Linked DNA regions of Elephas maximus indicus. The protein of the gene in region 1 interacts with the protein of each later gene in a pairwise test. Links are inferred from orthologs where the notes say so. Each region holds a gene or a part of one and is shown on either strand. Other genes may lie near its edges.

Region 1 (7,691 bases):
TTAAGCCACCCATCTGCCTCTGCACTGCAGCCCCAGTCCAGGGGGCCTGCTGACTTTCCAAAGGCAGGGAGGGTATGAGGGGCAGTTTGGGGACTGACCAGTTCAGCATACTTCTTGCACAGCGCTGCCAGCTTCTCCTCTGGGGTACTCAGCGTATTCAATGTCTGCATCAGCAGTGTGATCTCCTTTCCTGCAAAGCAGAGAGCAAAGGTGTGCACACACTTCTCTGGGAGGCCCCAAGCCCCTCCAGGCCTGGGCCCACACTCTTGAACCTTAATACAGCCCTCCCCTACCCTACTTTATATTTCTGCTCGTCAAACTGGCTGCCTTCCCTGCTAGACTACATGCTTCGTGAGGGCCCCAGGACTCTCCCTAGTGCCTGTCACAGGGCACATGCTCAACCGCTGAACAACTGGGCACCTGTGGAATCTTGGTGGGCACCACCGGTGGGAGAGAAAAATGGCCTGCTCTATCACCAGATGAAAGGTGTCCCACCTTGGAGTTCAGTGCTACTGTTTCAATGCAAGGAGGGCCTTTCCAAAAGAGGAAGGATCCAAGAAAGCTAAGTCTCTGGCCTCCCTGAGAATGCACTGAAAATTTCCTGTCAACAGGTAGCCAAATAGTGAATGAGTATAAAACGAGTATATCTTCCACATACGTGATTCGAAAATCTCTTTTTTGTATGTGCTTTAAATGAAAGTTCACAGCTAAAGTTAGTTTCTCAAGTCTAAGATTTTTTAAAATAAATACTCTCTCTTCAAATTAGGGCAACAGCTGAGGGTAGGAAAGTAGGGAGTAGGGCACAGGTATAACATCACCCAACCTCGATCCTTTAATAGCCTGTCAGTCACTACCTTTCCCCGCTGCCTGCACCTGAGTCAGAGAGTTCACTGCTCCCTCCCTGGGGGCCACCTTGCACAGAACAGCACCAGGCTCCTGAGTGTCAGTCTTGGGAGTCTCCAAGAGTTGGGTGTACAGGCTGCAAGTCACTGGCACACAGGCCAAATCCAGCCCATAAACGGGTTTTGCTTGGCTCCTAGTGTTTTAGTTGCCAACAGTTAAAAAAAAAAAAAAAAAACTGGCTGCAGTAAGCCTGCAGCTTTGGCTGCTATCAATTAGCTGGGACCAGGTGGCAGTCAACCTTTGGATGAAACAGGCATTCTCTTGATCCACATGGGTCCCCTGGTTAGCTTGGTTTATGGGGACATTTGAGCTTTTGATCCTGGTCTAGTCTAGTTCTCTTACTAAAAAGAACTGGAAACTAAGGCCCAGACAGGGGAGGGACTTGCCCAAGGTCACACTGTGGTGCTGGCTGGCACGGGAGCCCACCAAGTCTCCTGCTCTCCATTTTCTCAAAGAGCAAGCAGGCTAGATTTCAGCCCCACTTGCTTCTGAAGCCAGGTGCCCTTGTGCAGTGAATGACCTGAACATTTCTATGTTGTGGCCCCACACAGCTGGCTCTGGTTAAACTAAGTAGCTATCCTCTGCTCACCCAGCCCCTTGGCTTTCTTCTTCTCCTGTGGCCTCCGGTGGTCTCGGTCTCCGCCTTCGTCACTCGCCCGGATCTCCTCTGTGCCTGGCTCCCCCTTGGAAGTCTCCTTTTCACCATTGACTACTGGGGTCCCTGGCTCAGGCTCCCCATTCCTTGCAGCATAGCTCCGGGACTTCTCTGCATCTTCAGGTTCGGCGGGCTCACTCTGTGCCCCATCCTCACCTGGGCCCCCCTGATTGTTGTCCACACAGTAAGTACTCAAGATGTCTTCCAGCTGGCGGCTCAGCTCCTCGGACACATCACGGAGGGCCCCAGACTGAGCAGTTTTGGCTTGAGCCCCTACAACAGAATAGGATGAGGTGCACAGTGAGAAATGAGATGGTTATATCACTGGTTGGGGCTCTTCAGGCTCAGCCAGACTCACCGGGTTGGGTTAAACATTGCCTAATCTCTTTAAAGCTCAGTTCATTTCCCTATAAATGGTGTAACTATCCCTCACCACCACCCAATAAGGTTTGCTGTGAGTATAAAGGTATGTAAAGCATTCAACATGGACTAAGCACTTAGCATGAACTCAACTTCTAATCTCCTCCCCTCAAAAGCTGTTCCTTACTATTAAACAAGTTCCAGAAACACCTCAAGTATGGATGGCAGTTACCCACTGGTGACTGAAGTGTCTCCTAAAGGGACGAGGATTTGCTAGTCAGGCCTCTCATTTGACTGCCACCTGGTTTAATCCTGTCAGCCTTCTCTAAAGAGGGTTCTGCTCGTGTTTGGAGCAGGAGGCTATATCAACTCCCCCGGAAAGGGTGGGGAATCACACAGACTCTGCACTGTCCTCCTCTCATTCTACATTTCCTCTTCCCTGGGTAAACTGCTGGCCTCGGCTTCAAACTCCAGCAGCTAAGCAGGAGTACCACAAACTCCTCCCCCTGCCCGATGGAAAAGCAAAGCTGGCACACACCCTCAGGCTTCCCCGGGGCCTGGGTGGTGGAATCTTCAGCTTCGGTTGCAGGAGCAGCCTGGCTGGGCCGCCCCTGAGCTCCCTCTGGTCCCGCTTCCGGTTGCCCTGGGTTGCTTTTTGGGTTGGAAGTGTTGCCTGATGGCTTGGCAGCCCCATTCTTTTTGTCTTGGTTCTTCATTGTGGTTTGCAAGGCTAGATTAAGAGCAAATCCTTCAGAAAGAAACACAGTTGCTATTTTCCAGACTTCGAAAATCTTCGCCGCCCAATGCCAGGCGCACAAAGCTTCTCAAAACAAAAACAAACTGGTTGGCCTCTACCGGGGGGAGCTAACGGTTCTCCCGGTCTCTGCCCGGTCAGGGGAGCCTGGCGTGCCCAGGCTGGTTTTCGGGGCGCTACTCCTAGAACGGGCGAGGACAGAGGCCTCCCTCCTGCCGAAGCCACTTCCCGGCACAACACGGCCCCCTCACGACAGGCCGAGCGCGGGATTGGCTCAGGGCCGAAGACTGACGTGGCGGGATGCTCTATTCCCGAACCCTCCCCCCCGCCCCTAGGACTCACGTGGGCTCCGCGAGCGCGCGCGCGCGCAGCCACCCACGCCCCGCGCGCCCTCCAGCCGCGCGCGCGCATGCGCAAGGCCATAACCCGCCTCCCCGCCCTAGCCCACGCACGAAATCGGCGCGACTGCCCCCACTTGCCGAAAGTATCCAGGCATACAGGGAGCACCCTGATCGTCTCGTCCCGCTAGCTGCAGCAGCACGTACCTCGCCGCCGACGTACCGACGGCTTCACCCGCTCTGGCCGCGCACCGGAAACCCTGGGCAACCGCTTTCGGCAGAGCGGCCCGCTCTCGTCGCAGCCAATCAATAGCCCGCGCTCTCGCGAAGCTTGCTGGGAAAGCTGAGGCGATGGCGGCCTTTGAGGCGGGTAATTGGGAAGGCGGGGGAGGGAAGGGACTACATGTCCCTCCATGCATCGGGGCTAGCTGTCCACAACTCCCAAGATGCAAGGGAAAGGGCTTCGTTCTGGCAGCCGGGTACCCTGTAGGTCCGGAAGGAGCCAGTTACTATGCATAAATACCTAGAGTAACCTCATTATCATTCAGAAGCTGTGATTCAGTACCCAGGCTTTGCTCCTGGCTATTCTTTCCTGCACGCCACCACCCTCTCACCCCACATTGTGAAATTCTATGCCTCTTATTTTTAGTATCTGGGGGACTCTGAGGCCTCTCGACGAGCGATGGATTCTTGAGTCGAGAGACCTGTATTCCAGTTCTGACGTCATCACTGATTTGTAGTATGACTGGGCATTCTTTTCTCTCTCTGGGCCTCAATTTCCTTTTTTCAAATGGAGGCTTTTAATAATAGCAATAACAGGTTATTGGGTGCCTGCCATATGGTTAATCCTCATAACTACTCATCGAGACAAGTACTATTGTTATTTCCCATTTCCTCATGAGAACAGTAAGGCAAAGGTTAGATAACTTGTCTAAGGTCACACTGCTAAAGAGTGGTTAGAGCAGGGATTCAAAACCAGGAAGTCTGGCACCAGGCCACCGTACTAACTACTCTGCCATGCTTTCCCTTAGGATGAGTCGAGGTGACTTATTTTTTTCCCACTCCTCATCACCAGTTGGAAACCCTGGTGGCCTAGTGGTTAAGAGCTGCTAACCAAAAAAGTCGGCAGTTCTCCTGTGTCCTATAGGGTCGCTATGAGTCCGAGTTGACTCGAAAGCAACATTTTTTTTTTTTCCATCACCAGTGTGGCAACTAGTCTCTTTGGAAAGGGCTGAGGACACCCTGCAGGGAGAGCTTGGCCTCAGACAAAGATTCCCAAGCCTTTTTCTCTGACAGGCCAACCCTACGCAGGCCACTTCATCACACCATCTGACTAGACTGACAAAGTCCCAGTGGCACTGGGGCTAAAGCTGGGGGGGGGGAACCCCAAGCTTCTCTCCAAATATGGAATCACAATTCGTTATCCCTGCTACCTACAGATAATGGAATAAAGGCCAATAATCCTTGCGCCTGGAGCTGAAAGCCTAGACGATTTGGCTTCTTCTGTTTTCAGCCAATCCTCCCCATCCCCACTCTCGTTTTTGCTTCAACTGTACTTTTACTCTTTCCAGCATTTCTCAGGTTTTTGCAGATCCTATTTCCTCTTTTGAGGCCCAGCTCAAAAGCCTCTTTAGAGCCTTCCCAATGCTCTGCAATCTGTCCTAGCTCCCTACGTCTAGATAGAGTTCTATTACAGCGTTATCACCAAGGTGTTGATACTATTTGCTTGCAAGTCAAAGAATACTGTGGGGAATTGTTAGCTAAATTCTCTTGTCCCAAAGGCTAGCACTTGGTGAAGGCAGAGAATGGTTTTAAGTTGTTCAAATTGAGCATTGTTTGGGGGCTGTTAAGATGTTAAGTATTTCCCCCAAAAGTTAAGGAGACCATAGGGCAGAGAGCTCTGTTTAGTGGCTCCAGACATCAAGGTTTGCCTTTACCAGGTAACACTGAGAGGCAATACGGTATAATTGTGTGATGAAGGAACTGAGAAGCTAGGATTTGGAATCCAGGTCTCTTGAAATGAAGGCCTCATTTCCGGAAAAGCATGTTAGAAATCCCTTGAGGAGGTTACATTATCAATAAGGCCTTGAAGTTCTAGGAAAAAGAAAATAAGAACAGGCTTAAATGGAGTGAGGGGTGGAGGGTATAGCAGAAAGGTCAACACTGGCCTCCAGGGACCAGACGGGTAATAAGAGTAGATAGAGCAGGCACCACGGAACAAGAAAAATAGAAACATGGGTTTAAAAAGTCACTTTCTCAGGTATAAAAGAAATATGGCAATGAGTCAGGGAGACAACTAGTATGGTAGTGATTACGGTAGAGAGGTCCTTGCAGATTGTTGCCAAGCAGAAACTTAGGCCCAGTTATGCCAGATATTCAGTGTTTTTCAAGACAGCTATTTCTTGATTTTTTAATGTTGTTAACTAATTAAAACTTAAAACTCACTATCAGCCAAATAAGACCTTCCTTTTGGGCGAAATCAAATTGTTGGCTTCTTGTCTAATTTGTGTTAGGAATTGCTCTAAGCTGAAGTGAGGAGTTTGTGAACTGTATGACCTCAACTTTTATGAGAACATTTCTTCACTGGCAAAATGGGGACAATATTCAGTTAGCTTGTAAGACTCGAAACAATGTCAAGATCCTTTATAGCAACTCTAGAAAATGCGAACTGATCTATAATGACTATAGAATGCAGGTTAGTGCTGGGGCACAGTGAAACTTATGGGGGTGACGGGTATATTCACTATCTTAATTGTGGTGATGGTTTCACGAGTGCATGTATATAAAAAATTATCAAATTGTACACTTTAAATAGGTGTAGTTTATTGTATGTCAATTATACGTCAATAAAGTTGTTAAAAAAAACAAAACAAACCTTTTATAGCAGGAGCAGGCTGCAGCGATTTTTATTTCTATTAGACTAACAAGTTTAAATACCCTTTCCTCATTCACCTCCAAATAATCCAGCCTAGGTTCACTCCAAACCAAAAGAGACGATTTAGAACTTTGCAACAGGTTTTTATTTTTTGCTTTATATCTATTATTACAGTGTTTGAAACCTAAAGAAATACATTTCTCTTCAAATTTGGATGTGTATATAAATATCATTTGTCTGGACTCAGCACACTCAATGCCATGGTTTCTTGGCCTATGTCTGCTCTAAAATCATCAAGCTGTGTCTGTCTACCCAGGGGCCCTGAGAACATGGAAAATAGCCAGAGAGTTTATGGTTCTTGGAAAAATAAAAACAAATGAATTAGGAAAGAAATACCAGTAAGGAGGAGAAGGGCTGGATTCACCTTTCTAGGGTCTGTAGCTGGGAACCAACCTGTTTTGGGGGACATCTGCTTTGCTGGATGGTTGGGGTCCTATACCTCCTTTTCCTTCTCTAGTGATAAAATCAAAGGCAGTTTCCACAAAAGCTGGATAAAGAAGCCAATACCCAACTCCAGGGCCTGAGGATGCTAAGGACATCCTCTGAGGCAGAGGTTCCTAGTCAGTCTCAGGGCCTCTTAGGTATGCCTTCCTTTACTGCCCCAGAGCATGCAGACAGTTTTCTCTCCCTAAGCCCAGGGGCTGAAAATCTGACCCGCTTAGGGGAGTAGGGCTAGCTTTCAACAGAGGGGTTCAGGTAGTGCTAATGTGGACATAAGAAGTCAGGCTGGCCCAGAAGTAGCCAGGTAGGCCCAAAACCTTTATAGCATACTATGCAAACCTCTCTCCCAGAGTGTCTGGGCCCCAAATTTAAGTCAGTAACTCTCAAAGCCAGTTTTGGTTCTGCACATAGCCCAGATCTAATGCAAAATGCCCTCAGAGGAAAAATAACAGCTTTAATACATAAAGTTGGTTAGTCTTGACTTCAGTTTCCTCCCCTGCCATGGTCTTATCTGGGGTAGGGCTAAGGGATAGGCAATGGGATGACTGAGTCATTACCAAGGCCTTGGCCAAAGAGCATCTAGTGTCTGCCACATGGATCCCTGTAGGGCCAATTCTCGCTTGGGGGCTTAACAAAAGAATTTAAAAGCTAAGACACAGAAAAAATACTGGATAAGGTTGGTCTAGAATGTGCAATCCTAAAACAGCTGTGGAAGAAAACTACTCTGAGCAGTTTCATTCCCACACTCGTGCACTCCTGGAGTAGTCCTGGCCTGGAACATATTGCCACTGGTTATGAACATTTCTTTCCTATGGTTCAGCATCCTGAGCCTTGTAACCCTCCCCCAGGCTGCCAGGGAGGCCGGCAGGCAGGCACATTCAAAGAAAGGCTTTTTTCCTCCATTGCCCTTGTACAGAGGATAGAAGCAATTTTTTAAGGAACTACTTTGTACACCTAAAGCAATGTCTCTGACATTAGGCTGGCCCCCAGCTGGGCTGTTCTCCTTATGACCCTGCAGTGCCTGCAGGGACCTGGAAAATAGGAGAATCTAGAATCTGAGCCCATAAGATGACTCCATGGAGGAATGCCTAAGATGATGAGTGAGTCTAGGGGAGGAGAGGAGGCCTGAGGAAATGAGGGTGGCCTTCAAAGAGGGACCTGGGTTGAGGAAGGAATTATTGCTAGGCTTTCATCTCCTTCCCTTCTAGTTAGCTAGAACACGGATAGCTCTAGGGTGCAGGGGGAAGGAAAGCAAAAAGGAGAATATGGAAATCCAGTTCATTCTGGTAGATGGTTTTAATTTTA
Region 2 (7,702 bases), on another chromosome or scaffold:
CTCTGGTCCTCTTCTGCCTCCACTGTTAACACCCTGGTCCAACCCACCTCCCATCATTTCTCACCTAGATTTTTAGTTTAGCTTCCTAACTAGTCTCTCTGCTTGTACCCTTACTCCCCCATGGTCTATACGCAAAACAATTCAAATGAAGTAATTCTTGAAAAAAAAGTTGGATTGTGCCCTCATTTGCTTAAAACTGTCCAATGGCTTCCCATCTCAACCAAAAAGCCAATGTCCTTTCAATCACGTACATCATCTCCTACCACTACCCTCTTCTTCTGAGACCGTGTGTTGCTGCATTTCCTGTTCTCATCATGTTCCAGCCACATTTGTCTCCTTTCTCAAATGTGCATGAGGAAGGGGCATTGATGGTTCAGTGGCAGAATTCTCACCTTCCATGCAGAAGACTTGATCCTATTTCCAGCCAATGCACCTCATGCATAGCCACCATCAGTCTGTCTGTGGAGGCTTATGTGTTGCTATGATGCTGAACACGTTTCCGTGGAGCTTTCTGATTAAGATGAACTAGGAAGAATGGCCTGCCAATCTACTTCTGAAAACCAGCCAATAAAAACCCCACAGATCATGATGGTTCAATCCACAACTGATGATGGATATGATGCAGGACCGAGTGTTTTGTTCTGTCATGCATGGGGTTTCCATGAGTCTGGGCTGACTCCATGGCAGCTAACAACTCAAATGTGTAGGCATGCTCCTGCCCACAGGCCTTTGCATTGGCTGTTCTCTTCACCTGAATGTTCTTCCCCCTAGCATCTTCAGATCCCCTCAGATGCCTCCTTCTTGGTTAGGTCTTCTCTGATTACCTTATTTAAAAGTGAGCCCCACCCCCACAACCCAACACTCCCTATTCCCCTTCTCAAGTTTTTTCTTCAAAGCATTTGTCTTCTTCATTTGATTCACTATACATTCACATATTTATGTATTGTCTGTCTCTCCCTAGTAGAATGCAAGCTCTCTGGCAGAAGGCAAACACTTTCACTTGGCTTCTAGGCCACTACACTCTGCTGCTGTCAGAGCTATATTCCCTGGGTCCTGTTATATAGTAGGTATTCAACAAGTATTTGGATGGTGCTAAAGCAGATAGGGAAGGCAGTTCAAATCTGCCAGGGGTTCCTTGGAAACTCTACGGGGCAGTTCTACTCTGTCCTATAGGGTCTCTCTGAGTCAGAAATGACTCGACAGCACTGGGTTTGGTTTTTTTGAAAGCAGAGAGAAATGGGTGGATTTGAGGGATATCTGGAAGATAAGATTGACAGAACTTGCTAACAATTTCGCTATAGAGATATGAACAACAGGAAGGAATGAAGGATGATGCTTAGCTTTCAAATTTTCACAAGTGAATGGATGGTAGTGGCCTTTACTAAGATAGGGAACACTGGAAGGAAACCAGATTCACAGGGAATAACTGTGTATTTGGTTTTAAGCATGCTGAGTTTGAAGTGCTTTTAAGATACGTGAGAAAAAATATTAAGGAGATAACTGGATATACGAAAGCTGAGAGGTGAACCTGGATGGAGCTATACATTTGGAAACCAAAAACCAAAAACATTTGGACGTCATCTGCAATAAATAGGTACTGGTGAATCCATGCATATGGTTGAGATCATATTCAACTATGGAGTGAAAAGGGAAGCTAGCCTTGAGAAACCACCTTACCCTTTGTGGGCTGGGTAAAGAAGGATGAGCCCACAAAAAAAGCAATGTTTTTTTGTTTTTAAAATCACACTTAAAATAATAGCTATAACCATTTTTATTCTGATTTAAACCAGTAGCATTAGAATCCTTCCAGGCTTGCCAAATTACACCAACTCATTGGTCACTTTGAGAAACTACCTGAAAATTTTACAGTACCTGTCTTTCTGCAGCTTCAAAATATATCAATATACAAAAAGCCATCCCTCCCAAATTATGTGATTTGGCTTATTGCAGTTTCTTTAAAGTTCCATACCTCTCTCGCTTCTGGGCTTCAGCATATGCTCTTTCTTTGGCCCCCAATTCCCCTGGGAAAGAGACTCCACTGCACCTTGGTGGCGCAGTGGTTAAAGCCATCGGCTGCTAACCCAAAGGCCAGAGGTTGGAAACCACCAGCAGCAGCTTGGAAGAATGATGTGGCAGTTGGTTTCCGTAGAGATGTACAGCCTCAGAAACCCTATCCCTATGGGGTCGCTATGAGTCAGAATCGTTTCAACAGCAGTGGGTTTGGTTTGGTTTTCGACTTCCAAGACTTGGCTGGGTGGCCCTCTTTCTAGACACTCCAAAGATAACACTATTACATAGTTCTGTTTTTGTTTAGGTAGGGACTGTGTCTCTTTCACTGTTTAGACCGTGCCTACAATGTTAAATTTTTAGAACTGGATCTGTTCTGCAACGTGAAAAATTAATTCTAATCTTATCAGTTCATTGATGGGCTTTCAAACCCCGACTTTTCTCAAGTGGCATGACTTTTTAAATATGGTCTTTTTTCCCCCCATATGGTCTCGTTAAAGCCTGCAAGAATTCTTATCATCTACGAATGTTGGAGATTGTTTTTCTTTTAGTCTCATTCGAAACGGATTTCACAAGTCGCTTTCAATGCCCTACTTGGGATTCATTTGAAGACTATCTCTACACAGAGGTAAGCTTAGGCTCGAATGCACCCAAAACCAAACCCATTGCCATCGAGTCGATTCCGACCCATAGCGACCCTACAGGACAGAGTAGAACTGCCCCATAGAGTTTCCAAGGAGCGCCCGGTGGATTCGAACTGCCGACCTCTAGGACAGCAGCCGTAGCACTTAACTACTACGCCACCAGGGTTTCCGCTCAATTGCACGGGGGTGTCTGATTCATCCCGCGCATGTTCACTACAGAGGGCAAACGCAGGGACAGCTGCGCGGAGCATCCGTTTTCATTTCATCCTTTTTGCATCTTAAAGAAGGCCGCTCACTCCCAACTTCGGGATCGCGACCTCCAAATTCTCGCCTCACCACGCGCAGGAGCTTAGACACCTGGACTAGTACTTCTTACTCAGGTCACTGGAAAAAGTCCCTGGACTGTCTGAGCAGCAGCCTTGGATGGCTTCGTCTCCAAAACCCCAGAGGAAAAAGGAGGAAGAAAAAAAAAAAATCTTGTCAAAGAAAGCCAGGAAAGAAAGCAGCCAAGCCTACAGTGCTCACCAAGCCGACGATCCAGTCAATCCGCGCTGCCTAACCGTTGGCTTGTAGGCCGCCACAGGCAAAGTCGCGGTGGTCCCTGGGGGTTGTAGTTTCTGTCGCAAACAAAACACCCGCAGAATAAAAACTACGTTTCCCAGAAGTCAACGCGAGGACACCCTGCCTCCTTAAATCGGGGTTCGGGCTAATAAAGAGGCCGTTACTATTTTTAGACAAATCTTAAATTTAGCCTGTTTCTTCCAGGAGTGCTCCGTGTCGTCTTTCTTTACCCTGCTTGTCTTTGATAAAGTTTCAGCGTACTTAATTTTTTCCCCTTTCTCCACTCCAACACCAAACGTCTGACAACAGAAAACGAACCGTGAAGAAGCTAAGTGCCTTTAAGGCGCATGCACCGTCCTTGAGGTTACGCATGCGTAAGAACCGGCAGCCGTTGGCGGCCGCGCGCGGGCTTGGGGTCCGGAGGTAGCAGGGCGAAGGGCGGGGCTTTTTCCAATGGCTTTTTTTTGCCTTCGCGGGTCGCGTCTGCCTGGGCGGGGAAGAGGGCGCAGGGGCAGGGGCGGCTCCTGGTTTGTGCCGGGCGGAGAAAGGGGAGGGGCTGGGGGTGAGGACCCCATCTCCCCTCCTTGCTCCCGCCCTTTGGGCCGATCCCCACCGATGGGGCTGGACGAAGGGGCGGGTTCTGTGCCTGGGGCTCTGCCGCACCGCCAGCTCTGCGGCCCAGCCCGGTGCGGGGCAACCCTGTGCTGGTCTGGCTTGGCGGGCGGTGGGCAAGGGCGCAGGGATCGGAGAAGAAGCGGCGTCTTCCTGAGGGTCGGGAATCGGCGGGGCCGAGGGCGCTCTCCTCCAGTACTGCCTCGGAGACTGCATCTGCAGAAGACACCCGCCCCCTGGAGCGCTCAAGTCTCCGACCGCCGCGGCCCGTGGGCCAGGGCTCGGCGAGTCGTCCCCGCTGGCGGTCAGCGGGCCGCTGGGGCACAAGGAGGAGCTGCGGAGGGCGGGGACTGGTGCCGGAGAGGCGGGGTGGGAACGCTCCGGTGACCGCCGTGCCTGCACTGACAAAAACCCCCGAATGACTGGAGAGTGTTCAACTGGTACCAGCCTTTCTGGGCATAGCACGGATTTGACAGCTCCACGTCGTGAGGATATCCGCTGACCCCGCGAGACGAAGGACAGCACTTCCCCGAGAGTCCCTCTCCAGCACAGCCAGCGCCGTAAGGTTGCAACCTTCCAACTTTTTTTCCCTTCAGTCTTTGACCAGTGTAGAACCAGAGGGTGAGCTCTGTTTTGTAACTCGGTGGAAATCATCCGTATAAGAGACAACCGGTTCCAAATGTCACCCGAACGTGCGTTTTCTTGACGATTCGATTTCTCTGATTTTACTCTTACATTTCTGATTTAAAAAATAAAAACTGCTTTTGCAGACATGGTGAAAGGTAACTGAAGATTGAAAAAGAAAAGCTCCAAGTTGACATGGCTGAAGGAGAGAATGAAATGAGATGGGATGGACTGTGCAGTAGAGATTCAAGTACCAGAGAGATAGCACTGGAAAACATTAGGCAAATAATTTTGAGGAAAACCGAGTATTTTCGTTCCGTTAAAGAGACACCACATCGTCCGTCACACGAGCTTTCAAATGCTGTTTCTTCGGATGGGTTGAATAAACTTCTTGCTCATCTGCTCATGCTTTCTAAGAGGTGTCCTTTTAAAGATGTAAGAGAGAAAAGTGAGTTTATTCTGAAGAGCGTCCAGGTAAGGAAAGCTTTATAAATAATGCCGTCTATCTAGTACACCAAAATTTTACTTGCAGTTATTCACTTTGTGTTTACTTCTAATACGTCGTCATGATGTAAACTCTAATCATCTTAAAATAGAGTTTTGGGTTAAAATTGGAAAAAAATGAACTAAAGTAAAAAGCAATTTTCAAATATAAGTAAACAAAGTATTGTCTTTCTAGAGAGTTTTAGGCAGAAACTGCATTCCTCAAATATATGTGATAAAAAAAAATTTTGTGTGTGTGATAGTTACAGTTAATTGCAAGTAAAGACTTGGCTTTTCCTGATATTAACTTTTTCACGTTGTTGTGAAGCAGAGCCAGTGTACTTTTCCCATTGTTACAAACAGTGTTCTGGGTGGGAAGTGTCCCATATAAAAACCTTCAAAATGATAAGAGGATATTCAATGTTTCCTAGTCTGCTTGTTCAGGATAATTGCTGAAACAATTTTCTCTTGTTCTTAAAAACAAAACAAACAAAACACAGGGTGTGTTCTCTAAATGTAAGCTTTCCTTTTTTAAAAAGAATTATATAAAAAAAAAATTAAAGCCCATGTTATAAAGGAATTCAAAACCCAGGCAGGATATATGATGGGAACACTTTTATGGTAAATTACTCAGCCAACTTTCTCTGTATTTGCCTGCATGTTTTGTTTATTTTTCACATACATATTTATTTAAATTGTGAGTGCAGCAGATTAAAAATATTTAGTTTTCCCCATTTCGTACATTATTTATTAGAATTTTTTTTTGCAAAAGGTTGCCTTTAGATACTAAGAATGTTCGGTAATGTTGTTTATATATGTTTGTCAATCTATAAGTTACTTAATCCACAGGTGTTCTTCAAAGTCATACTATGAAAAATTTTTTAAATTTATAATTTACTTGGATATATGTAAACTAGGAAGCCCTGGTGGTGTGTGGTTAAGTGCTACGGCTGCTAACCAAAAGGTCAGCAGTTCGAATCCACCAGGCGCTCCTTGGAAACTCTATGGGGCAGCTCTACTCAGTCCTATAGGGTCGCTATGTGTCAGAATCGACTCAACAGCAGTGGGTTTGGTTTTTGGTTATATGTAAACTAAGATGAACAGTTTTCTATACTGGCTTGAATTTAGTTTAAAGCAGCAGAAAAATAATCATTTCCATAAAATTAAGACTCTATGTAGATCTTGGAATATTTCTTCCCAAGAACAATTTGGAAACAATCATTGTAATTTATTTGTCCAGAGGTACCACAGAGAAATTAATTTTCTAGATACCTAAAGTCTACCCTCTTAGGCATCAAAAGTTATTTCTCTGGCCCTAGACTGTAGTGATGAAACAACCTTTTTTTTTTTTTTGTAATGGGCTCATCATGATGCACACCAAGCACTGTTGTAAAACAGAAGGTGGGGTGTATAGGACTGTATGACCCTACACTGAGAAATGCCATCTTGATATATTTTTTGAATTTTTAAAGTTTTTCAGTGCCTTCTCTTTCTGTCTGCATACTTCACTTTGGTCTTTTCCTGAATCATTTTCCCGCATATTTATATTATTAGGCTGGGAAACCAGATAATCAGTTTTGTTAAGAGTTATTTGGAAAATAGAAATATGTAGGTTCTGAAGGGAGTACAGGGCCAAAGATCTGTGATATGTAGTGGTAAGTGAGTACCAGAGTCCCTGGGTGGTGGAAACTGTCAACAAGCTCGGCTGCTAAACGAAAGGTTGGAGGTTGGAGCCTACCCAAAGGAGCCCCTGAAGAAAGGCCTGGCAGTCTGTTTCTGAAAAATCAGCCATTGAAAACCCTATGGAGCACAGTTCTACTCTGACACACATGGGGTTGCCATTAGTGAGAAATGACTAAACAGTAATTTTTTTTTTTAATGGGTACTAGAGTCAGACATACCAAAAACCAAACCAAGCCCAGTGCCGTCGAGTCGATTCCAACTCATAGTGACCCTATAGGACAGAGCAGAACTGCCCCATAGAGTTTCCAAGGAGCGCCTGGCGGATTTGAACTGCTTACCTTTGGTTAGCAGCCGTAGCACTTAACCACTGCACCACCAGGGTTTCCAGAGTCAGACATACCTAGTCTCAAATTCTGCTACTTTCGCTGTGAGTCAGAATCAACTTGATGGCAATAGGTTTTTTTTTGTTTGTTTTTTTTATTGTACTAAGGAACCCTGGTGGCACCATGGTTAAGTACTCGGCTGCTAACTTTTCGGTTAGCAGATCGAAGCCACCAACTGCTCTGCAGGAGAAAGATGTGTCAATCTGCTTCTGTAAAGATTACAGCCCTGGAAACCGTGTGGGGCAGTTGTCTTATAGAGTCACTATGAGTTGAAATCAACTCAACGAGATACAACATTAATGTACTATGTAATCTTGAGCAAGTTACTTGACCTCCCTTAACTTGGAATTCCACATCTGTGAAACAGGAATAACAATATAGAGCAAAAAAAAAAAAATAGTGAGAATTAAATGAGATGTAAAGTGCCCCAGCATATGGTAGATGCTCCTTTCCCTTTTCTTAAGTAAAATGCATGAACTATATGATATTTATTTTAAGACTCATTAATCCTTGAAAAAGATTCAAGAGTCTCTTCTACTGTGAAGGTTTCCTATAGATTTATACTCTTTTTTTCATCTTTGTATTTATTGCACCTTATTCCTGCCACAATTATAATAGATGCTTTCGTTATTATGGGGTAATCACATGCTTATGTGTCTGTCTTTCCAGTCAGGGCTGTGAGTTCTCAAGAGTATTGGCTGAGAC

What was found.
Region 2: the proteins of TXLNA (region 1) and CEP57L1 interact in binary tests that used the Homo sapiens proteins (3 or more experiments, as listed by UniProt). The two-hybrid records come from large-scale screens. The link is inferred for Elephas maximus indicus from reciprocal best matches to the Homo sapiens genes TXLNA and CEP57L1.

The regions. Positions count from the first base shown.
Region 1 is NC_064821.1:73,088,220-73,095,910, reverse strand, and holds the start of TXLNA (alpha-taxilin), read right to left. Parts: upstream 3,324-7,691; 5' UTR 3,218-3,323; exon of another isoform or gene 3,152-3,217; intron 2,667-3,151; 5' UTR 2,635-2,666; coding exon 2,457-2,634; intron 1,832-2,456; coding exon 1,493-1,831; intron 191-1,492; coding exon 99-190; intron 1-98. UniProt on the Homo sapiens protein: May be involved in intracellular vesicle traffic and potentially in calcium-dependent exocytosis in neuroendocrine cells.
Region 2 is NC_064819.1:174,987,762-174,995,463, reverse strand, and holds the start of CEP57L1 (centrosomal protein CEP57L1), read right to left. Parts: upstream 3,528-7,702; 5' UTR 3,177-3,527; exon of another isoform or gene 1,970-3,176; intron 1-1,969. Other genes in the region: SESN1 (sestrin-1), read left to right, coding at 4,644-4,922. UniProt on the Homo sapiens protein: Centrosomal protein which may be required for microtubule attachment to centrosomes.